Cricetulus griseus: one gene and its partners. The protein of the gene in region 2 purifies or fractionates together with the protein of the main gene of each other region. This does not show direct contact. Links are inferred from orthologs where the notes say so. Each region holds a gene or a part of one and is shown on either strand. Other genes may lie near its edges.

Region 1 (4,836 bases), on a different chromosome or scaffold from region 2:
AAATACAGGCAACAAAATCACAACAGAAAACATCTGAGGTAAGGAAGGGCACAGGAAGGCAAAGACACAGCCAGGGGAAAATGACCTTTCAACCTTAAAGTCTAGGCTTCCTTCCCCTCAATTTACTTTTAGTCAATGATGATGCTAAACTTAACTTGTTTTCCCTTCATTAGCAGTTTCACAATTTAACCTTCTAGGGCCCACATTAATGGTTATTAAACAACCATAATATTTTCAGGCTATCAGAAAATCAAGACACTTAGCTTTCAGTATAACTAATAATGGACTTTTCTATCTTCAGAAGTGCATTTTGGGGGCTTGGGATATAGCTCCTTGATAAAGCAGCTGCCTAGGATGTGACATTTAAAGTTCAGCTCCCAGACAAACAAACAAACAGCAGGAAACCTTGGCCATGCCTTAAGTCTCAACACTCTACTGGAAGGCAAAGGCAGTGGGTTTCTAGGACAGCCAGGACTACAGAGAGACTCTGTCTCAAAACCCAAACAAACAAGGTCCATTTTAAACTGACAAACAGATTCTTAAATTTCATAATAAGTTATTATGAAATAACTTCATAATAATTGTGAAATAAATAATAATTGTGAAATAAATTTCACAATAAGTTAAAATTCTATAACGGAATACTTTTACAGGCTGTATATTCTTCCCCCTCAATAACAATGAAGCAAATGAGAGGTTTTGACTCTCTGCCTTATGGCCTCACCTAATCTGGTCCTTAGACATGCCATGCTAGCCTTTCCAGCTACTGCCAGACCTTGTTTCAGCTACTAAAAAATTATTACAAAGAGAGTAAGGCTGTTTGGTTGAGTTTCTGCCACCCTAGTACCTAAGAGCATGAAGTGTCTCCAAAGTCCTGAGAGTTGGTAAGAATGAGCTGTTTCCACACCTGTGAAAGTTCCCTTTCCACTTATCAGACCAAAGCTACTTTACATCCCAAGAGAATCCCAGTGCTAATGGTGCTCTAACATGGTGATGAGAACAGGAACCCTAAGCACTTGGTGGCTCTTCTAGTACTTAGCAGTCACTTTCCACAGCAAGGTAACCGGTAGTATCAAACCCCATCTCATTTGGGCAGTGGTGCTCTGCTTCAACCATCAAACATGAGCTGTAGGTGCTTATTGTCAGCAGAGCCACAGCCTGCTGAGTGAGATACTGGGAGAGGGTTTGTAATCAGGAAATTGTAAAACAGGGATGTTTGAAAGAGGTGCACAATGAGACTAAGAATGAAATTACTGACAGAGCAGGTTTGCTCAGTTTCTTCAGGTACCTCCCTACACCCATGGGAAATATATCTGATGTTAAACACACAATTTAATCTGAGGTTGGTATAGAAGTCTATATAAAAGATGTGGAAATACAGTTGCCAGCAAGTATGGATTAATATATAATCTGTGGTGCTAAACTGAAAAAGAAGAATTTTTAACAAGTTTATAAAGACAGATGTATCAGAACAAAAAGAGGAGAGGTTCACTGGTGGCTATCGCAGATTAAGTGTGATGACCTGTCTTATTATGGAAAGGAGCTTGACTGCATCTTGGGAGGCTTACAGCTACTGACTACCGAAAAGGAAGTTTTTGCTACTAAGTTACAGTGTATGACCACGGAATCAAACTTAATACTGCTTCTCAATGATTTATCTCATTCTTAATTGAGGTTAAGGTGAAGCTAAAAGGATATATATATATATCTTAACATAAGTATTTGTAATGAAAATGGAGCACACACACACTATATATATTATATATATATTCAAGTAGTACTAAAGATCAATAAGAATGCAAGTTTCCCAAGTACGAAATAATCCTAAAATGGACATTTTAGGAGTAATCATGTATGGGATATTACATAACAATTCAGAAATGAGCCATGGTCATGTATGCCTGTTTGTACACAACAGTCACACCCAGTGTTTTTTCTTTTTTGATTTTTTTTAATTAGTTCAAATTAGGAACAAGCTTGTTTCACATGTCAATCCCTTCTCCCTCTCCCTCCCCTCACCCCCACCCCCACCCAGTGTTTTAAAACAAAAGCATACCACGCACACAATGCTGATGTGGCAGTGGCTTTCTTTTTGCACAGGGTTTCACTATGTGGCTTAGGCCAGACTCAAACTAATGGTCTCCGACACCTTAGTCTACTGAGCATGGATTATCAGCAGGTGTCATCACAGCCATCAAGCTTGAATGTTAGTACTCCTGTAGGGGTCAGGGGAAAACTTGCAGGACCAAGCAAGTTCCAAGGATCAAACTCAAATTGTCAGTCTTGATAGCAGGTGCCTTTCCCAAGTAAGCCATCTTGCTAGCCCTGACTTTTCTCACTTAACACCTCCTTGATGTCATTCCCATCCAGTTTAGACAGCTCCCTCATTTTTTACCCTCAGCGGCATGTATAACATTGTATTTGTATATATCAACTTATTTGGACATTTCATTGCTAGTAGATATTTAGTAACAATGCTATATTAAAGACACTAAACACACATAATCTCTCTGTAAATAGTTTTTAGAAGTTAACTGTAGGAGGAAAGGTACTCACATTTAGTATTCCAATAAAAATATCAAAACCATCCTCACAGGGAACTACATTAATTTATATCCCCTGAGTAAGGATTATAGGACCTAGGCTACCATTGCAATATATTTGAGTATGAGGGAAGTAAGAAAGCCAGCTCACCTTCCAAAGTCACAGAGTTTTAATACAGCTGTATCAGGATCCAACAAGAGGTTCTGTGGTTTAATATCTCGATGGCAGATTCCAAAGGAATGGATATAGGCTAAACTTCTGAACAGCTGATACATATACAACTGGAATAAATAATAGACATTAATTCAGCACCTCTGGTTTCAGACACAATTGTATCATTATGCAATAAACAAAGTAATAGTCTCAGCAGAACATGTACAACGCTGATGATTACTAGTACTGTTTTGCCTACACAAGCTTTCATGTTGTTTCCATAAACACTAGGAAATTAAAGTATCATTAAGCATATATTTGTGCTATCCTTTAGTAATTTAGAAAAGTATCTAGGCTTGGTGTCATACAACTGAGGCAGGGGAATTCTAAGTTTAAGGTCTACCTAGGAAACTTAGTGAAACCATATCTCAATCTAAAATTTAAAGAGGGCTAGGGATGTAGCTAAGCAGTAGAGCACTTGCTTAGCACACAAAAAAAGTCAGGGGTTCAATCCCTTTCACCCACTTTAACATCTCATCTGAAGTCAGCTGGATGAATTTTTTTACTTAAAACATCGATGAAGAGCTCAGAGGGAGAGACCGACCATAGTCTATGAGTGATAGATAGCAGCCTTTAGATGATAAACCATGTTCATTATTCTTTCTAGTATCTCAGGCTGTAAAAGCATAGTGTCATTTTTAGTATCATTTATCTTTCTGAAAGGTTAGTCTCCAAAATCATATAATAGAAGCCAGGAAAACTCACAGGTAAAGTAAGAAATCTAATCAATTGCCTTTTCAGACATCAGTAACTCTGCTAATAAGTAGTATTAATAACCTTCAGAATAATGTAGACTTGCAATGCCACCTAAAAACAGATGCCAGGGGGGTCTCTGAGTCCAAGGATGGCTTGGCCTATAGAGCAAATTTCAGAGCTCACACACGATATATCCTCTGAGAGTGACCCACTATCCCATGTTCTCTCACCTTGCTTTCCCTACCTCGATGCACCCTATCCTCCAGAACTATTAGGCCAAAATAAACCTTTCCTTCATTGAGTTGCCTTTGTCTGGAATTTTGTCAGAGCAACCAGAGAAATACCCTTAAAACTTTAAGAAAACATACCGATGTAACACCTTCAATATTCTATTTATTCCAAGGCCAGTGTTGTGACTCTTTCCCTTCGTTACTTCCTTTCTTCCTTATTTATTTATTTACTTATTATTTGTTTACTTATTTCTTAGTTATTGATTTATTCATTTTTAATCTCTTCCAGGACATACTACTCCTGTTGTATACAAGCTGGTCTTGATCCTGTCATTCTTTTGTCTTACTCCAAATTGCTAAGATTATAGATATGTACCACTACACTCAACCAGATTCATTTTAAATTTTTTCTACATGCTCACTTTCTGAGCTCTACTCCCTGATTAACACCATGGAAACAATTGCTGCAATGATTCCAATCAAAGACACAGTGTCTGACTAAGGAAAAAAAAAAAAAATGAACAGCCAGACAATGGTGGTGTACATCCTTAATCCCAGCACTCAGGAGGCAGAGGCAGGCGGATCTCTGTGAGTTTGAGGCCAGCCTGGTCTACAGGGTGAGTTCCAGGACAGCCTTCAAAGCTACACAGAGAAACCCTGTCTCAAAAAACAAAAACAAAACAACAAAAAGCCAATAAAAAGATTAAAGGTCAGCTGAGGTACTGACAAAAGACCCTGTCTTTTCTGGATATATTGTTGGGGACTGGCATTATTGAAGTTCACAGGAAAGCCACTTTTCTTTAGAAGCATAATGAAACTGCTAAGGCTGGACATGTTAACAGTACATGTTTAATGTGAATCTGAAATCAAGCTATGCAAGTTAGAGCCTTCTTCAAAATGAAGCATGACAAAAATGTATACCTAAGATCTTCAATGTCAACATTTTCTAATTAAATCAGAAGTAAAGCATTTAGATACCTATTAATCTTTTTAAAGGCTTTGTAACTATTATTGTATCATTGTTCATTTACAGAATCAAGTTTTAAGTTCCAAAGCTTACTCTGGTAGCTGAATTCATTATCTCCAACCAAATGATCTATAACCAAGAGAGTTCATGGGCATCAAAGGAAAGATTTAGCTGTTTCAGGGTATT
Region 2 (3,544 bases):
AAGAGTAGGACACAGTTCTCTTTATTGTGACGCTCAGTGGAAACATCTGTAAACCAGCTTACTGTAGTGGTGACAGCTGCGACACATGCTAAGGCACTTATATTATATATATATAAAAAAAAGGGGGGTGCGGGTCCCACTCACTCCTATGTGACAGCAACTGGGACTTGAATTCAGAGCTTTTCCGGCATACGTAGCTTCACGATTTGACTTTGTTTGGTTCTAGGGAGTTTGTTCCCTTTTAAAAAAAAAAAAAAAAAAAAAAAAAAAAGCCTTCTTGACTTAAGGGAGTCTAAACACACCAATTACAAAACAGTGAGGTGCACAGAGAAATTCAGCAACCAGTGTAGACCATTGTAGAACAGGCTACTTTCTTCTAAACACAGTTCCAGGAAAAAGCAGTGAAAACACCTAGAACTGTAGCCCTTATTCCAAGAAAGGAAAAGAGGAAAAACCTTTTTTTTTTCTCTCAAAAACATCCATGTGGAAGGCAGATCTGAAGCTATAGCATTGGCGGTGCAGCTCAGCCACCCTTGGCCCTGGTCCTAGGAGAGGCACAAGAGTGCATGGTAGGTCCCAGCTCTTGGATATTCTGGCTGCAAGTCCCTTAACCATTAAATATATTTGGTCCCCTAGAGTGCTGGGAGAAGCCACCGGAAGGCTGTTGGCCTTTCCAGTGTGGCCCTGATGCCCTGTCTGGTTGCCCCGGTGCCGGGATAGTCTGCCCTCGGCAAGGGAGGGAAGGGGCATTGCACTTGACACATTTTACAATCGGAAGGGGCAGAGGCACCAGTGCTACCCGGAAGGGAATGGGGAGAGTTCCCCGAGTGCCCCTGTTCTGCACCCAGCACAGAGGTGGAAGCCCTGGACTGCTCCTTCTGGATCAGGAAGGGCCCAGGAAAGGGGCCAGAGGGCAGGTGTGAGGTCACCATGTGTGATTGCCAACAGCAGAGGAAGGAGTGGGGAGGAGCTGGCAGCAAAGGTGGGGGAAAGGTGACAACACTTCTAGAGGGCCTGAGCTATTAAAACCTTTATCTAAAGAAAAAATAGATTCATAGAAAACTCTTGTGCCCACTCCCAGGGCTGCCCTCCTTGCCCACCACCTGTGCTTTCAGGCAACTGGGGCAAAACCTTGCTGGTCACTGGGCCTGGGCCAGCCTGGACTCTTTGGTATCGGATTCTTGAAAGGTATGGAGGACTATGCAGCAGAGGAAGCCAATGCCCTCAGTAAGGCCTGGGGGTCGGGGGTTGTCAGGGTCAGAGCAGTCTCAAGGCAGGGGTGTGGAGGGGAGGCGGAGCCGTCTGTCTGTTGTCTCAGGCAGCAGAAGATCCTATTCAGCTGGCTTGGCCTCAGCCCCGTCTGCTTTGCCATCAACCTCCTCATCTGAGCAGTCGCCAGTGCCTTTCCGGACAAGTCGGCGGGTCACCACAAACGGCAAGTCTCCACGCCTGTGGAAGGGGCAGAAGCAGTGTCAGCGGGGCCCAGCTAAGGAGTGATGGATGGGCAGCCCGGTGTGCAGATCTCAAAGTGGATCTTCAGAGGAACTCCTGCCAGGGGAAGTGAGCCAGGCAGCACTCTCAGGAGAGTGGACCATCAGAACCATCACCAGCCTTTTCCTGCAGGTGTCTTTACCACAGAACACCAGCACAGGGAGGTTGAGTGGAGGCAGGTGGCACTGTTGCAGGGTGAGTGCTGAGTGGCAGAACACATGCCTAACACAAGTTGGACCCCAAGTTCCATCACAGCACCACAAAACAAAAAGATGTAAGTAGACCCGGAACCTCAGGGAACAGCTGTTCACACAGGAGTCGGGGCATCCTCTGATCACATTAGAAAACACAGATGAAATTCTCATGAGAGTCTTATTTTCATACTTTAAAAAACATTCCCTCTGATTGGAGGAAGAATGGAGACTCCCCGAGATCTGCTGCAGCCCAGCAAAGTTCTAACACTGACAGAAGCCTTGCTTTCCTTCCCGCTGCATCGTGATGCCAGCATTCACTCTACAGAAAGTACAGACCCTGGGCCAGAAGGCCTCCAGCAGCCAACTCAAAAAACCCAGCATGGAAACACCCCCATTAGGCTTTGAGTTGCAAGAGCATGGACTGTTAAAATAGGCTTGGAAAAGCCAGGTGGTAGTGGCACACGCCTTTAATCCCATCAGAGACAGGGGCAGGTGGATCTCTGTGACTTTGAGGCCAGCCTGGTCTACAAAGCAAGTTCCAGGACAGCCAGAGCTGTTACACTGAGAAACCCTGTCTTGAAAAAACAACAACAAAACAAAAGGCATGAAATGAACTGCCAAGAATATGCAGTTGATTCAACAGCCTGGCTAAGCCCCAAAGGCAAGAAGACCCCGGCAGGACACACTAGGGTGGGTACCCTCTACATCGGTCACTACGCACCTCTTCCTTGTACACTGGCTCTGGAAGGAGATGACTCTCTGAAATGCACTCAGAACAAACTACTTGAGAAAGAGTAAGGTCTAGGACAGGAGACTGACTCACCTCAATTTGTTCTTCAGGGAGCTGACTTCCCGGTTCATGGCATCGGCTGTCTCTGTGGCATCTTCCAGCTCACGCTGCAGCTTTCTGCGTGAGGCATTGGCCCGCTGGGCTTCCTCTTCGGCCTCCTCTAGCTGCCGCTTAAGCTGCTTCAAGCGGGTGGACGCCTTGTCGGCCTGCAGAGACACGTGGCTAAGGTAAGGGGCCCTGAAAGAGCGGCCCACCTAGAGCCAAGGCTCTGTCTGAGCACAAACCTGGTCCTTGAACTGCTCGGCATTCCTCCGCTCGTCTTCCACCTGCAGCAGCACATCCTTCAGCTTCTTCTCGGTCCGGCGCACCTGTTTGGAGGCTGCCTGGCGCTCCCTGGGCACGACAGACATGGTGACTGAAAGGGGACACTCTACCAGATGACACAGCCAACTCCACTTCCTGGGGCCACACGGAGGCCTGGAGACCGATGCCCTAATCTTTTCTGGACACCTCTGGAGGTGTCTTTTCCGGACACCCAGTAGCTGCCATCTCAGGATGGGACCTGGGCTGACCCATGAGACCAGTGAAGGAGCCAGCCTATGGAGAATCTGAGGCTTGGGACCCAGCATGGTCCTCATTACTTCCAAGTCTCAGTTCTGAGCCCCAAGACAGCTAGGCAGGGTCTCTCACTAGAACAGCCCACAAAGCTCCCAGTTCTGGGTGTGGGCTATGGGTTCCCACCCAAACTCCATACTTCTCAGAACAAATGAAGACTGCTTGTGAAGCCTGGAAGACAGAGCTCATTCCTGACCCGACCGGCACTGACTGCCCTCAGTTTGGGTGGGGTACCTACTTGGTCTCATTGTCCAGCTGTTCCTCCAGCTGTGCAATCTTGGCCTCCAAGGCAGCAATGGAGGCCTTGTATTTGGACTTGACAGCACTCTCCATCTCCTGCAGCTTGGCCTTGAGCTCCTTGTTCTGGCGTTCGAGCTGCTGCCGCGCATTCTCGTTCTTCTGAGCATGACTGCGCTCCAGGTTCAGGTCGGTGTTTATCTGGTCAATCTGCAAG
Region 3 (4,640 bases), on a different chromosome or scaffold from region 2:
CTTCAGAATTTACAGGAATCTTTGACTTACAAAGTATAAGAAATGTTAAATATGACTCACATACATTTACAGAGAACAGCATCTAGAGGATTCCTCTGTGAAAATGAGGGACTAGTAATAGCAGAATGATCCAAGGTGTGCCAGCTGCCATCTTTACCGGGATAAAGGAAAGTGTGTTTGTGGTATAAAGAAGGTAGAATGTAGAGAGTCACAAAAAAAAAAAAAAAAAAAAAAAAAGAAAGGAAGGAAGAAAGAAAAAGTCTTCCTTTCAAAGATCTAGTCTTTTCCAACTCTCTGACTTCCTTTTCCAGTTGGCTAATATGATACACACACACACACACACACACACACACACACACACACACACACACACACACACACACACACACACACACACACACACGAGAGAGAGACAGAAAGATCTATGGTTTGATAGAATAAGAGGAGAAAAGATGAGAGAAGCAGCAAGTGAAAGTTGCTATTATTATCATATTTTACTCTGGTGGCCCTGGGAAGGGTAGAAAGGATAAAGATAGTCTTAAGCAACTAAAGGGAAGAACATCACAAAATGTAGCCTCAGAAAAACACTTCTCTCTCCAGGAGGTTATGTGGATTCTTGAGAAAAAAACTCCTTACATCAGTTTAAGTTTCAGTACAGCCACCTCACAGAAATAGGGAGTGATGCTGCCCAATTATAAGCATGTGCCACATGTTAATATGAACAAGTTCTCTGAAGCCTCATTTATAGGTTTCTTTTGATAATATATCTTCCTATACAGGGATGTATCTCCAAATAAAGCTAAGGTAATTGTAACTGGATTTGATCACACAATTAACTATAGACCACAATATATACAATCAGACACTCAATTCATTTGCTGCAGCTGCCAAGTCTCCAGAAAATTTTTGCTGCAGGCTGTGCTTTTTTTAAGCTTTAAGTTTGAAATGTTCTACAACACTAAAAGGTATACTTTTACTCATAAGATACTGTTCCTTGACATTCTAAGAAAGCAATAATGGAAAGGCAGCCATAATAACGTGGTAACATGCTGAGAAAAACTGATTATGAAGCAAATAAGAGTTTATTTTTTTCTTCTTAAAACTTTTTAGGGTATTTTTCCACTTTCTATTAAATATATTGATGTTACTTCTGTCTGATAATCTATATTATCACTTAAACTTTCACACAGATATAGTATCACAGCTACTTCAATACTGTAGCAACAATAAAACTTGAGAACTGAAGAACACAAATTTCTTCACAAATTTATTGTATAAAGTATATCCACTTAATTTGTCTTCTTATCACTTTCAAAATACATAAGAAGCTCAGTGGATGAAGAGGCCCTTTAAGATGACTATAGTCACATTTATGGGTCCTATAATCAAGGTAGCATACATACCACAACAGTGTTCTAAAGGCTATCCCAGGGGGAAAAAAAAAAAAAAAAAAAAACCACATTACCTTATCACAGTATAGAAAGCACTGTGTTCTTTTTCTCCCATTAAGGTATAGTTTTCTTTTTTTAAGCCACTGCTTTATTTAGCATTACAGTAAATAATAGTTCTGTTTTGATTACTACAAGAATGAAAAATGATTTGAAAAAAGCATTTCCAATGATTTGAAAGCTACATTTTCCCCTGCCAATTTTAAAATATAAGGTTGATTTGCACTAATTGTTAAAAGAATCAAATCACAAGCTCAACAAATTAGCTGTAGCTTGTAGTAAAATGATATACCAGTATGTCTCTCCTTAGTTAAAAATACATAATTCTTTTATTTTCTTATGCAACAAAAGAAATTAACATCACAGACATAGAAGACTAGGAATGGGAAACTACATTAAATATCCAGTAATTTAAGCCTACTTGTACTTTTCTACAGCACATGAATATTTAACACTTTTTGATGTAAAATTTAATTTGGGGGATATACAATGTAATTCTCAGGAGTAATAGTTCCATTCATTTGCAGGCCTGCTTACTGTGTGACTAAGTAACACAAGGCACAGTAGCCATCCTTTCTGTTATGCTGCAACACTGATCGAGTGCCTTGAAAAATAGCTGATTAAATAAGATGATGGCAACAGAAGGGGAGACTTTGGATTGTCTATTTAAAATCTAGGTAATAATAAAGATTCATTTTAAGAGCACTTTTACATGCTTGTTTATACAACAAACTTTGTAATTTTGTTGCAATAGGCTTGACTAACCTATCATTTGGCCAAATGCACTTTCCCCAGTAAACTTAAAACAACAAAAACAAAAACAACAACAACAAAAAATCCCTGTCCTTTCATATACTAAGAGGATTGGCTACTGAAACAGTTCATTGCAAGACACATGAAGACAACATACTGTGGCATGAGTTGTTTTAATTTGCTGTGCTGTTACTAAAGTTCTGAGGGCTGTGGTTCAAACATTCCAAGTTCTCCCTTCCATCTTTATTGATTCTCAAAATTTTGTACAGAAAACTCTTTGGGGGCTAGAACAGCAGTACTTGCACCATACTGTTTCTAAGACTTCAAGTTTCAAAAGCAAACTGATAGGGAAAAAAAGGAAAAAAAGAAAAAAGGTCCTGATTTGAGCTAGATTCAGGGACAAAAAAAGAAAAAAAAAAGAAAAGAAAAAAAAAAGCAAGAAAAAAGCACATACTTGAAGATTACATGGTCTACAAATGGTGGCAATGTTTTCCTTGCGAGAGTAGTTTTGTTGGTATATATATTTTAAATACTCAAAAAGGCTCAACCTCAAGCAGTAATAAACACAAGCAAAAGTGATTTAACCCTTAAAATAAATATTCAGAAAAACCTCTCTGTACATACAAGTGAAAGAATATGTAACACTTTCACGCAAAAAAATAATTATAATAATAATAAAGGATTTGTTCATATATGTAGCTGAAATCTGCTGTTCAGCCCACAATGTCCCCAATGAAGAAGGGAGGCACAGACATAGATGACTACTGTGGTTCACTATCTTACAGCCTTTTTGTACTGGGACACTATCACCACCAAATTATCCCTCTTACTATATTTATTATGTTTTTTTAAATGTTTTTCTTTTTTTTTTCTTTTTCTTTTTGTTTTTGCTTCTTTACAGCATGCCAAATCCTTTGGCGTATGTGATGGCCTTCAACAATCTCTCTTTAAGTTTTTCTTTGCTTGAATATTCCGGTAGTAAAAGGACATTAAAGCAAGTATGAGATGTAGGTAACCTAAATAGAGAGAAAAACAGGAAAATCATAAGTTGTAAGAAATATGCTCAGTGTGAAATACTCCTATTAGATGCTTATCTAGTTAAAATGGTTTATAATGAGAAACTACAGATTAGATAAATCATAAACAGTGTGCTGTTTAGCTACAAAGATCAGTTGGTCTTTAGCCTATAAAATAATGCTAACATGATGAAGGTGATAGTGATGACAGTAATATTTTGCATTTACTGAGTTTCTACTCTATGTTAGCTATTGCTTTAGATACTTACCTTTGTAGTTCATTTACATCTTCACACAACAAACATACCAAGATTACTAAACCCACTTAAAAGCTGAAGTCACTAAACAACTTAAAGTACAAAAACTATTCAAAACTATCATTAAAGATTTCAGAGTCTGCTCCTTTTCTTTTTTTTTCCCTTTCCCTTTCTTTCTTCTTCTTTTTTTTTTCCCAAGACTGAATAGAAATACAATTGGTGGGGCTGGACAGATGGCTCAGAGTTCAAGAGCATACGCTGCTCTTCCACAGGTCCTGAGTTCAATTCCCAGCAACCACATGGTGGCTCACCACAATCTGTAATGAGAGCTGGTGCCCTCTTCTGACTTTCATACATCCATGCAGGCAGGATACTATATACATAATAAACAAATAAATCTTGAAACACAATTGGCAAAATGACAGTGAAAATGATTGAATGGCAAATATAAATTAATTAAAATTAGATCCATAATGTATTATCAACTAATATAGACTAGACAGTAATGAAAATATATCTGTAGATGTATACCAAAGTCAACATACTTCTATGGATATGTCATCCAGCCCCACTATAAAAGAGAAAAGTATTTAATGGGGAAAGGATACAATCATATGTCAAAATTATGTAACTCAGGATTCTAGAATAAACTTTAAAAAACAGATAATCCTGAAAATTTCAGTGTAAGCATTCTAAATACACTATTCTATAAAACAGCTTTCTTAATAAACTTTATTGGGATGATAAATCATACCAATTTGACAAACTGTACTCATGTACCTCCCAATTACTTTTTAAGTATGTCAATTTTACAATTGAATAATAAAGGTAAAATATCCCTTTCACTAATGTTTTGTTGACTTGGATATTTCTATATAATATCATAAGTGAGCACAGAGGCTAAATGTCTCTGATCACATGTGTGCAGCATGAAGTTTAAAGGTTTACAGTGGAGATGGAGTTGCACTTCAATATTTACCTTTCTGAGTCTGGGCCATTTTTGGCTATAATCATCTTCAATTTTCCCAGTCCTCCAACAGGTGCTCTGTCTGTGCCAGTTGTAAACTGCAAGAAGAGTCTTTTCTGTTCATCTGTAAACGAATGAACAGTTTCCCAGAACTCCCTAATAAGAAAAGATACAATACTGGTTTTAATTTGACATTATT
Region 4 (4,836 bases), on a different chromosome or scaffold from region 2:
AGTGGTACAGATTATTAGGTACTTATGGTTATCCTCTTTACATAGTTCAAGGGCAGCCTAGGCTATATAAGACCCTGTCTCAAAACAAAAAAGATGAATTAAGAGTATGCAACTAGGTGGTGGCATTCACCTTTAATCCCAGCACCTTGGATGCATAGGCAGGGGAATCTCTAAATTCTAGGCTAGCCCAGTCTGTATAGTGAGTTCCAGGACAGCCAGGGCTACATAGTGAGACCTCGCCTCAAAACAAAAATTAGAATGAAAAAAGGGGGACATCAGAAATGGCTCAGCAATTAAGAGTATATACTGCTTCCAGAGGCCCCAAGTTTGGTTCCCAGCACTCATGTCAGGTGGACCACAAACATCTGTAACTAGCTCCAGGGGATCTGATGTCCTCTAAGAGCTCCCAAGATCACATGCACATACTTATACACGTGCACAATTAAAAGTATGAAAAAGAAAGCACTAAGAATTGGTAATAATTTGGTGACAAAAATATGACTAGTAATTTTATACAAAAGACCCAAACCCAAATCTTGATCATATTTTGATGTGTTGGCCACAGGATAGTAGGAAATTAAGGACTTACTAGTAAGCCTTTATGTGTACTTCAACTTATTTAAGTAAATTTGATAGAGCAATGTTATATTTACCATCTGTAACTTTTTTTTAATTGTGCAGGATGATGGTGATAGGCTGGTGATAGGAGTAAAGAAAGAATTCAGCAAGATGGAAAAAGGCACCAGTAAAGAGTTTATGTAAGAGATGGCTTTCATTGAGGCAGGGGTGTTCTGCTTAGACAGTTAAGCAGTGTTTCAATGATGCAATGCCCTGGGACATTTGTAGTTGGGGCTTATGGTAGAGTTAACTCTGACCTGATAACAGTCACCAGTGGCCTTGCTTTGTTCCCACCTTGCCCTGAGTCAGTAACTGCCTTGTTCTGAGAATATCTGCCCCAGAGTGGTTTTTATGAGATTAAGCCTTACTCTAGCCCTGGCTGGGCCCACATTCAAAGCAATTTTCTTGCCTCTCCCAATTATACTTACCTGGTTGGTTAGGTGTGTGTGTGTGTGTGTGTGTGTGTGTGTGTGTATGTGTGTGTGTGTCTGTGTGTGTGTGTGTGTGTGTGTGTGTGTGCGCGCGCGCGCGCTTGTGAGAGAGAGACAGAGACAGAGAGACAGAGACAGAATTCAGTCTAAGGCCTCTTGTATGCTAGGCAAGTGGTCTACACTAAACTATATCCCCAATCCTAAACTGAAGTTTTGCTACGGAGTGATTGTAGTGCTAAAATTTCCTTTCACATCTGATTTTTAGGAAGGTGAGGGGTTAGAGAGATGGTTCAGTGGTTAAAAGGGTGTACTGCTCTTGCAGAGGACCCAACTTCAGTTCCCAACACTGAAGTAAGGCAGCTCACAATTGCCTGTAACTCCAGCTCCAGGGAAGATCTGAAGCTTTTGGCCGCTGTGAGCACAGTTTCACCCACAGGCACGTGGGGATATATGTAATTAAAAATATTTTTTGTTGTTTTTCGAGACAGGGTTTCCTGTGTAGCTTTGGAGCCTGTCCTGGAACTCGCTTTATAGACCAGGCTAGCCTCGAACTCACAGAGATCCACCTGCCTCTGCCTCCCAAGTGCTGGGATTAAAGGCTTGCGCCACCACTGCCTGACAAAAATCTTATTTTTAAGGTTGACAGGTGCCTCCCTTTGTACTGAAAATACTGTTAACTGTACTCCATACATGAACCTCATAAACTGAGTGTAGGGGCCAGTAAGCGGTAGGAGGAATGTATGTGTTTGTAAGTTGAATGACAGATTTTTGGCATGAGCTCCCAGGTGGCAATGAGTATTTTTCTGGAGTGAATGATGTGGCATGGTCTGGGGAGTGGAGAGGGTAATGTACAGTCAAACATCCAAAACACACAGAAATTCAAAGCCAGGTGTGATTCATGTCTGTAATCTAGCATGGAAGCTGAGGCAACAAGTTCACTGCCAGCCGGGACTGTGTAGTGAAACCCTGTCTCAAAAGAGACTCCAGACTAGATTTATATCATAGTTGAATGTGGGGAACTGTGCACACACCTTTTAATCCCAGTATTCAGGAAGCTGAAGCAGAGGGATCCGTAGAGCCTGAGGCCAGCTTGGGCTACATACATAGTATGTTCCAGGCCTGTCTGGGTGGTACAAGACCTCATTTCAAAAAATAGGGCAATGAATGAAAAAATTGAATAATGTCCAAATGCATTTCACTGAATAAATTCTACTTTTTACTTATTTTACATGCTGCTAAAAGTTTTCTTCTTGAGCCAGGTGTTGGTGGCGCATGCTTTTAGTCCCAGCACTCAGGAGGCAGAGGCAGGCGGATCTCCGTGAGTTCGAGACCAGCCTGGTCTACAAGAGCTAGTTCAGGACACCCTCCAAAGCCACAGGGAAACCCTGTCTCAAAAAAAAACAACCCAAAAAAGTTTTCTTCTTGGATTATAATGGATTGATAGTTAATTCTGCAAGTGATGAGAAGTTGTACAGCTAGCTTCCAAATAATCATAACATCTTTGTTGTCTGTCTGGGTTCCAGGTTCCTTGTGGAGCAGCACTGGTATAAACAGTGGGAGGTGTACGTGAAGGGAGGGGACCAAGATGCTAATACCTTTCCTGGCTGTATCAACAATTCTGGGCTCTTCGAAGGTACTAAGCTTCTGCCTTTCCCCGTCAACCTTGCCCTGGAGCTCTGATCTTCTCTGTCCCCACTCCCATTCTCTATGCTTAGTTATTGGTGGTAGCCAGAGTTAACAGTCCTTTCTTAATCCATGCTGTGCCTTGTCCATACTCCCTATTCCCTGCAGATCAGATAAACTGGCACCTCAGGGAGGGACTGCTAGAAGGAGATGATTATGTGCTGCTCCCAATGACTTCATGGAATTACCTGGTCAGCTGGTATGGCCTAGAAGATGACCAGCCACCTATTGAGCGCAAGGTATATGTGTGGAGCAGATGCTTGGGGTGGATTTTAGATTTCTAACTGTAGGCTCAGGGTAGGTCCAGAGTATGTACCTGTGTTCCCCCTGTTAGTTGGGTGGTTTTATGGGTGCTCCTCTGCCTTCACAGGTCATAGAAGTTTCTGGCATCCGAAAGGTGGAATTATACCCAATAGAGCTGCTGCTTGTCCAGCACAGTGATATGGAAACAGCTCTCACCATTCAGTTCAGCCACAGTGATTCTCTGGGTGAGTCTGGCACAAATTGCTATTTGTGGGCCTCTGGCACAAATTGCTATTCCTAATCATGAGTCACATCTCAATAGCCTGAGGGTGTCTGGGGATCCAGTTACAGCTTCCTGAGAAGGCACCAGTCATACTGTGGAAGACAAATGTTGCAGTGGCCATGTTGAGCAGACACTGGCTATCTGCTGGAGTCCAGAGAGGATGAGCTGTATTGCAGTTGCTTAGGTGGGATGGAAAATAGTGTTTATTTACCTGGGGGGGTGCTTAGTGTGTGGCTCACTCATTTGGAGATTTGTTTGAGGACACAAGGTATTGGCTAAGTAAACAGTCTGAAAATGAGCTAAAGCTATCAAATGGCCCAGTATTCTGGGGTCCCAGAATATATGGCCATGTTCCATCAACCTCCACAGACTTAGTCTTGCAAACAGCTCGGGAGCAGTTTCTGGTGGAGCCTCAGGAAGACACACGCCTCTGGGTCAAGAACTCTGAGGGCTCCTTGGATCGATTGTGTAACACACAAATCACACTGCTTGATGCCTCCCTTGAGACTGGACAGGTAACAGTGGGGAGGATTTCTCTGCATATATAGCCTGGTGGGTAGATCCCTGGCAGTTGTCAGACCAGGGAAGGGCAGGGTGCCCTTTAAGCTTTCCATTAATACTTCTCTTTTTCCTTTCTCTACCCTGGCCCAGTTGGTCATCATGGAAACCCGAAACAAAGATGGCACTTGGCCCAGCGCACAGCTGTGTGGCATGTGAGCCCTCGGGGTGTCGTGCAGATTTGGGGCACCCCACAGTAGGGAGACAGAACCTACGAGTACAGAGCACCCACCTGTAGTAGGCCCTTAGCTCATAGGTTTCTCATCCAACCCCAGGAACAACATGCCAGAAGAGGATGAAGACTTCCAGGGTCAGCCGGGCATCTGTGGCCTTACCAATCTGGGCAACACGTGCTTCATGAACTCGGCCCTACAGGTTGGGCCATTAGATCTATGTCTGGCACAGTTCCAGGGGTTAGGTACTGGGGACAGAGCTAGGGGATGGAGGGATGATGATTACAGTACAAGGGGTCAGGTTGAAAGCCAAGGCTCCACAAATCTGATCTGGTGTGCCCACATTTTCTCCTGAAGTATCAACACCTTTTCCCTCTACTTGCTCCCCGTTCTTGCTTCTTTCCTTTGGTACTGCCATTTCCTCCTACAGAGATACTGACATCTTTCCCCAATACTTCTACTGCACTCACACTGCCAACCCTTCCCCTTCTCTCTCCCATTTCCCTGTCCTCCCTCCTTCTCTGTTCTCACTTGGGCCACCTCACCTCTCCTCTACCTCTTTCACTGGGCCCTACTACCACAGTGCCTCAGCAATGTGCCACAGCTCACGGAGTACTTTCTCAACAACCGCTACCTGGAGGAGCTCAACTTCCGGAACCCTCTGGGCATGAAGGGTGAGCTTGCTGAGGCCTATGCAGATCTGGTAAAGCAGACCTGGTCTGGCTACCACCGCTCCATTGTGCCGAATGTCTTCAAGGTGTGACTCAACCCCATGGGCTCCCACTTTCTTTTCTCTTGCTTCTCCTAACTCCTACTCACTCTACCACCCGACTGTCTCCTCAGAACA
Region 5 (5,497 bases), on a different chromosome or scaffold from region 2:
TTGAGTACTGAGTTTAGGAACCTGTTTTTGTGGCTACTGAAACCAGAAGGATACAAAATATGTGTCACTAAACAAAATATAAAAAGGGTATCTGTTACTGAAACCCCAAACAAGACAACAAACATCTTGCTTGATTTCAGCTGGGAATGTGCACATATCATACCTCAAAATTCTCACTGCCATGAATGAATAAATGACTAAAAATGTGCAGCCAAGTATTGATTTTTGGGATTGTGAATAAACTTGAGCAAATAGGACATTAACATAGAGAATCCATGAATAATGTGGGTTAACTTTATGTCATTTCCCTTTTTTGAAAGCTGCATTCTTTCACATACCGATTCCTTCCAATTAGAACATGTATACGCTTTGGGGTGTCAATGTGGCTCCAACCACTGGCCTAACATACCTGAATACTGGGTTCAATCCTGAGGTCAGGAAGGTATATATGTCTTGCCTAATAACGATCAAGTTGGTTAATACTGTTGTCATTCTATGAATTCATAATTCAAACCTTAGCATGCACAGGAGCAGATTTCCCAGAGAATTTTTTTTCTCTATACATGTTAAACAAAAAGAACAACAACCATTTTTCTCCAAGGCAAAAATGGTTAATCTCTGTTTTGCACCTAAATCTATGGAACTGATGTGAAATAAGGAGAACCATCCCCCAAAAGGCCATTTATCTAACTATGGGCTGCCCAGAAAAATTAAATTCTATCAAATTGAAAAACAGAAAATTAAACGTATTCCCTATTCTTATTGAAAGAAATTTAGCAAGGAGCCTCAAATTAGGATTTGCACCGAGGACCGCCTTCCAAGGAGGAACTGAAAAGCTCACTAAACCACTAGGCCATTTAACCCATCCACCAGGCAATGGGAACTGCAGAAGTGATGCGCTCGATTTCCCCAATGGATACCTTCCCAGTGGATTGAGAGCTATGGATTTTCCCTCCCAAAGCAGTGTGTAACTGGGATCAAGGTTTCTAAATGAGCTTGCAGTTAGTTACAAGTGCATAAGCAAGAAAGGAAGAGCAAACGGCTCAAAACGGAATACAAGCACTTCTCGGAGAGGAAAAAAGAAAATGTCAAAAAGGGATCGGGGGCTGAAACCAGGGCAAAACCGGAGGCCCACTTTTAAAAGCTGATCCTGCTGGCGCAGGCTCGCACTCGCGCCCGCCGGCGCCCCGGAGCCATAGCGGAGCGCAGGGCGGGCCGCGGGGACCGGTGAGACAGGTGGATGACCTCGCGGAGCCTGATCCCGCGCTAAGGAAGGAAGGGTACGAGAGCAACGACCCGCGCCAGCCTTTCTTTCCTCCTCCATTAACTCACCAAGTAAACCACCCAGAGAAGACCGGGGAGAGGAAGGGGAAAGGGAAGCAGCTTCGGCACCTCCAAGGTAGCCTCAGCGGGTACGCCCGCCCCAGAGCTGCTGCATCTGCGCCTGCGCCGACTGCGCCGCGTCGCTATGTCGGTCACGTGACATATATGCCCCGCCCGCCCGCTGGTTCGCGGCTCCTCCCCTTCCCCGGCCCCGCGGTTCGTCCCCGGAGGGGCGTGGCCGGGTTGTGGGACACTATTGTGTGACGCCTGCGCACCAGCCACGCTGTCTATTGTGGTAGAATTTTTCTTCCCAGATGTACCGAAGAAAAACAGCAAAATATTTTTTTGAGTGGGGATGGGGGGGTAAGGGGACACTGTTTTCATGTCCTTTCTCCCAAAGGCGCAGGAACGTTCTTACGTATTTCTCAGGCAGGAGGAGTTAGAAAACAGGGACCCGAGAAAAACCAGCCCGTTTCCTAGCAACTGTTTCCACAGCAACCACGCGGCCAACAACGCTAAGCAGTCTCCAGAGGAGCAGAATAGTTTCTTCCTGTAAAGGGTCAAAGGGAGATTATTATACGAAAGAGAAATTTTAGTTCCTTGTTAAGAGAGCAAGAAAAGAAAAAAGCGGCGAGAAAAGGAGCCGAGACAGTGGGATAGGGAGCCAAAAGTTGAGTAGGTGTTAAGGAATCCTTTGGTAGCCATGGACCCATCCTGCACTTCCGAGAGTATATATAACCTCATACCCAGTGACTTGAAGGAGCCGCCCCCTCTTTCTAGGTATGTGGGTAAGCAAAAGTGACTTCAACTCAGGGAAGCATGGTGACTCCTTTTAAGGACTTACTGGGCTTGAATATCGTAGGACTTTTAAAAGGAAAATCTATTTTTTTCTTTTAATTAAGTAACCTTGGGGGGGGCAACTTCTTAGGAACAGGTGAACATATCTATCTAGCTTTTCATAATTCACAGAGAAGGTGGGCTGGTGCTGTATACCAGTCATTTTATGGCCGTAGTCTCCTGCTAATATGTAATTGATCCAGTTGTAGGCGGTGTGGTGTCTAGTGTGAAATTTCACATCGTTGAGAAGAGAAAAATAAGTTTTATCAGTCCGTTTTAGTAAATTCTTTGTTTAATTTTAGGAACCCCATGATGTATTTGAGTTTACTGTCTCTCTGTACTCCTTTGCCTCCCGTACTGTCGTCTAAATTGAAGTCTCATTTGTTTCTAGGTCTCGGTACTTGAGTTAGTTAAACAAAGATGGTGTGCTAAAATATTTTCTAGGATGTTTTTCAGATCTTATAGTTTAATGGAAGGAATATAGTTGGATGGATATGGATTCCAAAATATATAATCGAGGGAAATTTTTTGTGTGTTTGTTAGACCCCTGAAAATCTCCAAAGGAAACTGCAAAATAAATGTCCTAGATACTCTTCCCTGTAGCTATTTTTTAAACTCTATTGAAGTCTGAGGGGAGAAAAAGGGAGTCTCATTTTGACTCATGAAAGTCACGGCCACTTTAAAAGAATAAGTACCCCGGTGCACATGCCTATCCCAGCACCAGGAGAGTGCAGTTCAAGGCTAGCCTGGGCTACAAAGGCAGACCCTGTCTCTAAAACCAAACAACCAAGACAATAAATCATCCCTGAGAGCTTTAAAGCAAATCAAGATTTACAAGTTGCTATTTTGGAGGTGTGGAATCAATTTTCAGTTGTTTTCTGACTGGAAGAATAAGTGAAGTAGACATCTCCAAGGTTCCCTCCAAATGCAATGGTCAACTTCTTGTTACTTGGAGTGGTAACAGCAAAGTGTAACTCCTTAGAAGCCTGAGTGGCTTAAACCACAGCAATCACAAATATGGTATTTCCATTGGCTTTTCAAGATCTAGTTGAGGTCTGGTAGGAATATAAATGCTGACACACTTGTGGAGTTTACAGTGTTTACATTACTTATGGCTAAGTTTGATCCAAAATTTCCATATAGAGTCAAGGCAGGTAAGAAGGATGGGAACTAAGACTGACATAAGTCTGACAGTAAGGTCTGGAAACTGGATTAGCTTGCACATTGTCCAAAGAAACTGGAGGAGTGCCATTGCTTCAGTAGAGTGTTCACCTTTGATTACTGATAACTTTTCATATTTCAGATACTGTTAAGTGTCCATACACTGTTCTCTTCCTGTACAGTAAGATACATTATGATGAGACTCCCAGAGAAAAGAGAAATGGTGACAGAAAACTAAGATGGCATTACAAATGAGATAAACATGGAATCTGTGCTTGGAAGTCTTGTGTCTGTCTCACTCAGGTTGGACTCAAAGCTACTGGAAAACAGTCAGTCATCGACAAAGGAAGAAATGTGACTCCAAGTCACTATATCAGGGGTAAAAGTTAAGCTGTAATTGAGCAGAAGTGAAATGCTCTTTATAGGGACCCATGAGTATACATGCTCGTGGTTCCTAGATAGAGGACACATTGTGGAATGAGGAATGGCGTCAGCCTCAGTCTCACAAGGAATGTACCATGTTCCACTGGTCTCATATTACTCTAGTGCCAGAATAATTTAATGAAAGCAGTTTGAACAAGAGTGTTGTTCCCTAGTTTAACTAGATAGATCTTTTCTGGGATTTAGGTCAACACTGTCCAATAGAAATGTAATGCACTTAAACATTTTCCTATAGTCATTTTTAAAAGAAAAAAGCAAGCAAAAGCAAAATTATCCTTAATTATGTATATTGTTTAATCTGATGTATCTATACTACCATCATTTCAGGATGTGGCACTAGCCCCATTTCAAGTATTTAATATCTACAAGTAATGAACAGCAGAAATCTAGATGAATACATTGACTGCAGTGATATTTGCTAATTTATTTTTCTCAATAGCTCATGAGATCATAATTATGCCCAATGAAACACACCTGCCTTATTGGTGACAACTTAAGTGCAAAGTATATCTGTGACAATCAGTCTGGGAGTGGAATTTCATCTATTTTTGAAAAATTAATTACTTTATGTAGTCAAGAAGATGAACTGAAAATCATTTGGATGCCTGTGGGTGAACTTACACAGTATCTAACTAGATGTAAAAAAAAAAAAAAGCCTCAAGATTTAATTTGGAGGACTTTCTAACACAGTTTAAACTCCAGAGTCAATGTTAATCAAAAGCATACGCACATGAGTTCTCTCTCACAAATACACTGTGCTTCCTCAGATGTCTCAATCACTAAAAGGAAAATCTGAAGTTCTTTCAAATTATCAGCACATTTAAGCGTATTACTTCTTTGTGTATCCTTTTAAAATGCCATAAAATGGATTACTATATGGTGATTGTTAGCAATAAAATAGTTATAGTATGTTAAAAGAGGATGACAGTTTTAGTTTCAAAATAACTTATCTCTAGCCCAGTCTAAAATAAGTAGACAGCGAATCCAGTTATCTGATTAAAATTACCTGCTATATCTTTATAGTAAAGCCATTCATTTTTAAAAATGTAATGTAATGTAGCTATTTAAAAGAATAAGCATAGATGGGCAGTGAGGGTCCACACCTTTAATCCCAGCACAAGAGGCTGAAGCAGGCAGATCTCTGTGAGTTCCAGGCCAGCCTGTTCTACAAAGTGAGTTCCAGAACAGCCAGAGATACACAGAGAAACCCTGTTTTGAAAAAACAAAATGTTAATAATAATAATAATGAATAAGCTTTGTATGTACTAGCATCACACTATATAATACTTAAACAATAAAGTTGCACATATATGTGTACATATATCCATGAAACAATAAGTAATGTAAAATAGTCCATGAATTTGATAAAGAGCAAGAAGGGTATATGGAATGGTTAGGAGGGAGAGAAGGAAAGGGAGAAATTATGTAGTCATAAATCTCAAAAAATAAGTAGTCAAATATATATATAAGCAAAGCTGAGAATTTTGATGGCTGTTAGTGCAATAAGGGGAAGAAAAAATTAAAAAGAAAGACAACAACAACATATTAAAGTTGCAATTCATGTAGATAAACACAAACTGAATTTATATTGGAAAATCAATTGGAGAAATGAAGGGAAGAGAACTGAGATTATTATCCATTTGCAATTAATTTGAAACAAGTGTACAAATACAGAATAAAACATCAGAGCTTTATGTAACCAATGAATATGTTTTTGATTCATATACACACACAA
Region 6 (5,323 bases), on a different chromosome or scaffold from region 2:
TGTGTAGCTTTGGAGCCTATCCTGGCACTCGCTCTGGAGACCATGCTGGCCTCGAACTCACAGAAATCACACTGCCTCTGCCTCTGCCTCCCGAGTGCTGGGATTAAAGGCGTGGGCCACCAACACCCGGCCAGAGTGTTGGTTTTAAAGAAAGAAACTGTGAGGTCCATTTCATCACAGGATTATGATAGAGCTAAATCAATGGGAAAGGAGACAAACTCAGTTATAGCACTTGTCAAACTTAAAACACTATTTATACTACATGTTTTCAGGTAATTTTTCTAAATATCTAGAGTAAATTACTCCCTTGGTTCTTAGGAACCAAGCAGCCATCAATTAAAAATCAGCAAACATTACATGCAAACACAAGGATGGCAGTAAGAAATTAATACATCCATGCCTTAAAGAGAATCAGAAAGGTATAGAACAGTAGGCTTTGGAAATTTTAGAGTAAACATACTGACACTTCCAATCACGAAACCAGAAATCCCAACCAGACTGTTACCAACCTTTCTACTTAACAGAAAGGTCATGCGGGCAGGGCTTCTCCCTCTGGATCATTCAACCTCTTAGACATCAGTGTGTCTTCACTTCAAGCCAGGCAAAAACCCCAAAAGGCAACACATTTTCTGCATGCTAGTCAAATACCTGAACTCTGCGTTTACGAAACGATGACAACATGATGGAGGAATGTGGAGTCTAAAGAGGGAAGGGAAGAGCAAGATAACACACTTCTAAGGGCAAGTGGGATAGAATCACTTCAAAGTGAAGGCAACAGATCTGTGAAAACACCAATATTTATTTAATAGCCAAGATTTCCCCAGTATCCAAATCCCACCAGGAATCTGAAATGTATTAAGAGAACCAAGGCTCCTATGTCTTAACAATTACCATCACCTAATGGGCTGCCTTGACCAAATCGAACACTCTTTTAGGACTCAGTATTGATTTTTTGTTTGATTGTTTTGTCTCCCCCCCACCCCCACCCCAAGACAAACATTTTTTGTGAAGCTCTGGCTGTCCTGGAACTCACTATTTAGTACAGGCTGGCTTTGAACTCAGAATCACCAGCCTCTGCCTCCCAAGTGCTGAAAATAAAGGTGTGTACCACTACTGCCCGGCATTCAAGTGTTGATTTTGAATACTGAATGTTCTTTTAAAAATAAATATGGCCTCTTTTAAAAATAAATTTGGCCGCTTCTCATCCACATTCAGATGAAATAGGAATCTCAAAGATTTTAGGAATTTGCATAGTAAAAGTAATTAAGTAAAAGCATTAAGTCATTAGTTGGTGCAGTTCCCTTACAAAATACTATTATTTCCTACTCAAAACAAGTATAAGCAGTATGTGCAAGAGAGATGGGAAAGACGCTGGTCCATTGCACAGCTGTTCCAGTCAGCTAGCTCTATGTGATCAGCTATGCAGACCTCTGCATTCCTGGAGTCAGCACTTGCCATCGTATCACTGCATTCCTCTGTAAGGCCACACAGCTCATGAGCTGTGACAGGCCCAGATGCAGAGAGGAGTTAGTTATCCAGTAGCCAGGGAGGACTAATTACAAAAGCAGGCTGCCCTCAGATCTCCTGTCCTTTTAATGTTCCAGAGAAAGGATGGGGGGAGCTATTCCTAAGAGTCATTTCACAATATCCGCAGAGGCCCCACCCTTTGAGATGAAAGCAGAGAAGGAAAATAATAGAAAAATTCTAATCCAGGGAACTTAAAGATATACTTAATACACTCTCCCTACTTAAACTTGTTCATTAGATTACTTGACATCAGTTTCTTCAATTATTAGATTATTACAAAGCATACAGCCAAGCCCAAACTTGGCACTATCAGCAGCTCCTGCCTGCCACAGACCCAGCTACTCAGGAAGCTGAGGATAAAGCACTAGGCCAGAACCCAGGAGTTTTAGATAACATAGCAAGGCCTCATCTCTTTAAAAGAATAAAAGCCAAGGTTGGTGGCAGCTAGGCTTGTTGGCAGGAGCATAGTGAGTTCGAGACCAGCTACAACCAATTACATAGTTCCAGAAAGAACCACATATCAAGACCTTGTCTCAAAAAGTAAGGAGTGGGACTACATATTTGAAATAAGCCCTTAGGCCCTGGATTTACCCTAAGAAGTGTTTCACACTTGTCTGGCATAAGGCAAACCTTGTGTTCCATTCTTTTTACCTAGGTCCCTGGATAACAGTCAACACACTTTGAGGGTCCCTTTGAGGAATTAATGGCCCAGTTACTAAAAAAGGCTTATTGTTAATTTCCTGCAGGGATCTTACTGCAGCTCTTTTTTCCCCACTGCAGCACTTTTTTTTTTTTTCCAACTTTGACTTCAATTTGACCTTTAAAATCTAAGACATTTAGTATGAGTGGGATCCTTGGCTCGATAGCTTCATGCAACTCACTGTTGCTGATGCTATTCTTAAACTCCTGTTTCCTGGCTGCAAGACACCCCCACCCTGCCATCTTTGATACATTCTGCTTTACTTAAGTCCAATTGCTATGACAACGCAGTTTCTTTATGAAAATACTTCGTATTCCTTGACAGCCATGATGATTAGCTTTTCGAAAATACCAAGGGTAAGAACAGACAACTTAAAATATTTGGGGGTATATATCTGATTATTTGGGAGGCTGAGGCAGGAAAAACCTGAGTTTGAGACCAGCCTAGGCTATTTAGCAAATTCCATGCCAACATGGGCTACACAATAAGAGTTTGAAGAGATATTGGGGTGTTGGGGGCAGTCAAAAGGACCCTGTAAAGTGTAGCAGCTAAAAATTATCTCACCCCAGCTTTCTGGGCTATTCATTTAAAATACATCGAGCCGTACTTACACCAAAGCCCCTTGTTTTATATACATATGTACTTCCAGTACCCGAGAGGCTTTTAAAATAAAATTTTTCGTTGAGAAGCATTTCATCAAATTTACAAGGACAGCTTCAGACACAGACAAAAGATTGCTCTATCACTCCACAGTGGCACGGTGGCAAAAATTTGGCCAAAAAATATATTAATTTCGACTTAAAAACAAACAAATAAACCCAGTCTCACATAAAAAGAAAGAGAAGAGCTGTAACCTATTAAGTTATTTATTGGATTTGTATCTCCTACCAAGTGGCGCCGCATCTAACTACTGTACAGGAGCAGGTCAGCACTGGAGAGAAAAAGACATTTATTACCAGGAAAGAAAAAGGAGACCGTTCTGCGGCTTGAGGGCCCGGGATCGCCATACAGGATGAAATTAAGGTCAGAGAGCCCTTCACTGCAGACGCCAGGCTCGTCCTCTTCCACGAGGTGCGGGCACGGATGGTGCGGATGCAGTGCAGTGGGGGGTGGGGGGACGCTCGCGGGTGGGTGCCATCGAGGACCACCCACCACCACCTGCCGCGATGGGTGGGGCCGCGGGCACAGGGAGGGGCCCTCGCGCGCCTTCCCCACCCATGACAGGCCAGGTCGCCGCCCGGCCCCGCAACCCACGCGCCACAAAGGCGGCGGCAGCGGCGGCCCACGGAGCCGCCCGTGAGGCCCCACGGCTCACCTGTCCGCACCGCTGCGGTGCTCCGCAGCCCTCGGCCCTTCCCTCCCCTTCCGCCGCCCTTTCTCACCGGCTCCCGGGGGTGAGGGGCGTGGGTCGCCGCGCTGAGGGCTGCTGAGGAAAAAGATGCGGCGCCGCGGCCTCTGCCTCACGCCGTTCGCTCCGCAGCGGCTAGTGGCGGCGACGCGCGCGCGCTGGGGCTTTTATAGGCGACCGCGCGCGCCCCCGCGGCGGCCGAGCGCGCGCTCGAGGAAGGCTCCCGGGTTGGTGACGCGAGGGGCGGGACTCGCCGCTCGATTGCCATACGGAAAGGGCCGAGCGCGTCCGGAAGGGATCTTGGCAGCGGTGCGGGGGGAGTGGGGGTTGGGATAAGCAACGCGAGGGTGGAGGCGCAAGGGGAGCTCGGGGGCGCGCGTGAAGGGTTCGGGGCGCGGCGCGGCGCGGCGCGGCGCAGAGGAGTCACCGCCTCCGCCCGCCGCGGCGTGGGTCCTGCAATCCTGCCCCGCCCAGTCCGTCCTGCAGAGAATCTGTGCCGCGCCCCTCCGCCCCTGGGAGCCCTTCCGGAACTGCGGCGAAGGGCGGGGCGGGACCCATCGCCGCAGTCAAGCTAGGGATGTTGCTGCCCTGGCCGGAAAAACGCGCTGTCCTTTTCGGGTGATCTCACCAGAATGTTGGCTCTCCCTCTCCACTTTCTCAGGAGGAGGCTTGGCGCTGGGAGCCCCGAGTGTTCCTGTTCTGTTGGGGGCTGGGGCCAAGAAAATCAGATGATTTTGGGGCCCTGTGTTTGAGATAGTAGGGGAAAAAAAAAAAAAAAAGCAACCAAATCCTGATTAGGAAAAAGAAAAAGACTGGTTTGTGGCATTAAGCTTTTATTTCAGGATTTGGAGAATTATTCAGCATTTTTTCTTCCTGTTGCAGTAGAACAGGGTTCGTTCATTCTCGTTGATAAAAAAAAAAAGACATTAGTGTTTCTTTCCCCACAATTAATTGAACTTTGCTGTGTAGGTGACACTGTGTGCTACCTCTTTAGGCTTTTAACCTTTGCACTAATTTTACAAGGTGGATATTGCCTTCCTTGTTTTACAAATGAGCACCCTGATGCCATAAAGGCTAGCATTCTACCCGGGTCAGGTACGAAGCAATTAGAAAAGCTAAGATTTTAACACAAGCAGTTGCAGGTGGTGCTGGACTTTTTAGAAGAGGAAAAACAAGATTTCTGCAATTTCTGTATTTCAGGGCCTGGCTCTGAACTCTGTAGCCAGGCTCCCCTCCAGCAAAAGCTCTTTCCCTTCCTCCATTTGGAAGACAGCTGTGTAGCAACCATTCGAGTAGCACCCAGCTCATTCCTGTGTAGTCAGGCCGACTGGGAGTTCTGCAGCTCCCCCAGGCACCAGCCTCCTGGTTACCAACCGCCCTCCTCGTTAAATAATTACAAAGACACTGGGCCTTGCTCCAGAACTCGGGTGAGGCCCTGTCCTGATATTTCTGTTCCTCTGCAGTTTGGCTTCTCCAGAGCCTAGGATCTGCATTGTGACTTTTAAGCTGCTCTGGCTGTAGGCATGATAGTGAAGATTCCCAGTCCTTTTCCTTGGAGTGGAGAAACACAAAAGGAATGGCCACACCCCAGAAGCAGCTTCACAAATCTTGAGGAAAGGAGGCATTTCCTGCAATCTTTACAGAGAAAATAGGTTGGGGAGCTGCTTCCTGAACTGTTTTTTTTGTTTGTTTGTTTTTTGTTTTTCCTCCCTCCAGACAGTGTTTCCCTTTGTAGCTCTGGCTATAGA

What was found.
Region 1: the proteins of Myh9 (region 2) and Gsk3b purify together in Homo sapiens (affinity purification with western blotting; 4 studies listed by BioGRID, with this or other methods). This does not show direct contact. The link is inferred for Cricetulus griseus from reciprocal best matches to the Homo sapiens genes MYH9 and GSK3B.
Region 3: the proteins of Myh9 (region 2) and Ube3a purify together in Homo sapiens (affinity purification with western blotting; 3 studies listed by BioGRID, with this or other methods). This does not show direct contact. The link is inferred for Cricetulus griseus from reciprocal best matches to the Homo sapiens genes MYH9 and UBE3A.
Region 4: the proteins of Myh9 (region 2) and Usp11 purify together in Homo sapiens (affinity purification with mass spectrometry; 3 studies listed by BioGRID, with this or other methods). This does not show direct contact. The link is inferred for Cricetulus griseus from reciprocal best matches to the Homo sapiens genes MYH9 and USP11.
Region 5: the proteins of Myh9 (region 2) and Enkur purify together in Homo sapiens (affinity purification with western blotting; 4 studies listed by BioGRID, with this or other methods). This does not show direct contact. The link is inferred for Cricetulus griseus from reciprocal best matches to the Homo sapiens genes MYH9 and ENKUR.
Region 6: the proteins of Myh9 (region 2) and Sptan1 fractionate together in Homo sapiens (co-fractionation; 3 studies listed by BioGRID and IntAct, with this or other methods). This does not show direct contact. The link is inferred for Cricetulus griseus from reciprocal best matches to the Homo sapiens genes MYH9 and SPTAN1.

Annotation. Positions count from the first base shown.
Region 1 is NC_048597.1:51,923,723-51,928,558, forward strand, and holds part of Gsk3b (glycogen synthase kinase-3 beta), read right to left. Parts: intron 2,826-4,836; coding exon 2,695-2,825; intron 1-2,694. UniProt on the Homo sapiens protein: Constitutively active protein kinase that acts as a negative regulator in the hormonal control of glucose homeostasis, Wnt signaling and regulation of transcription factors and microtubules, by phosphorylating and inactivating glycogen synthase (GYS1 or GYS2), EIF2B, CTNNB1/beta-catenin, APC, AXIN1, DPYSL2/CRMP2, JUN, NFATC1/NFATC, MAPT/TAU and MACF1.
Region 2 is NC_048595.1:374,862,645-374,866,188, forward strand, and holds the end of Myh9 (myosin-9), read right to left. Parts: intron 3,538-3,544; coding exon 3,329-3,537; intron 2,869-3,328; coding exon 2,760-2,868; intron 2,682-2,759; coding exon 2,509-2,681; intron 1,450-2,508; coding exon 1,332-1,449; downstream 1-1,331. UniProt on the Homo sapiens protein: Cellular myosin that appears to play a role in cytokinesis, cell shape, and specialized functions such as secretion and capping. Required for cortical actin clearance prior to oocyte exocytosis. Promotes cell motility in conjunction with S100A4.
Region 3 is NC_048596.1:138,656,350-138,660,989, forward strand, and holds part of Ube3a (ubiquitin-protein ligase E3A), read right to left. Parts: intron 4,598-4,640; coding exon 4,454-4,597; intron 3,218-4,453; coding exon 3,097-3,217; 3' UTR 1-3,096. UniProt on the Homo sapiens protein: E3 ubiquitin-protein ligase which accepts ubiquitin from an E2 ubiquitin-conjugating enzyme in the form of a thioester and transfers it to its substrates.
Region 4 is NC_048604.1:125,518,022-125,522,857, forward strand, and holds part of Usp11 (ubiquitin carboxyl-terminal hydrolase 11), read left to right. Parts: intron 1-681; exon of another isoform or gene 682-729; coding exon of another isoform or gene 730-758; intron 759-2,572; coding exon 2,573-2,682; intron 2,683-2,840; coding exon 2,841-2,971; intron 2,972-3,102; coding exon 3,103-3,220; intron 3,221-3,627; coding exon 3,628-3,773; intron 3,774-3,909; coding exon 3,910-3,971; intron 3,972-4,091; coding exon 4,092-4,191; intron 4,192-4,572; coding exon 4,573-4,746; intron 4,747-4,832; coding exon 4,833-4,836.
Region 5 is NC_048596.1:212,466,050-212,471,546, forward strand, and holds the start of Enkur (enkurin), read left to right. Parts: upstream 1-1,821; 5' UTR 1,822-2,026; coding exon 2,027-2,103; intron 2,104-5,497. UniProt on the Homo sapiens protein: Adapter that functions to localize a calcium-sensitive signal transduction machinery in sperm to a calcium-permeable ion channel.
Region 6 is NC_048599.1:141,635,204-141,640,526, reverse strand, and holds the start of Sptan1 (spectrin alpha chain, non-erythrocytic 1), read right to left. Parts: upstream 3,749-5,323; 5' UTR 3,610-3,748; exon of another isoform or gene 3,543-3,609; intron 1-3,542. UniProt on the Homo sapiens protein: Fodrin, which seems to be involved in secretion, interacts with calmodulin in a calcium-dependent manner and is thus candidate for the calcium-dependent movement of the cytoskeleton at the membrane.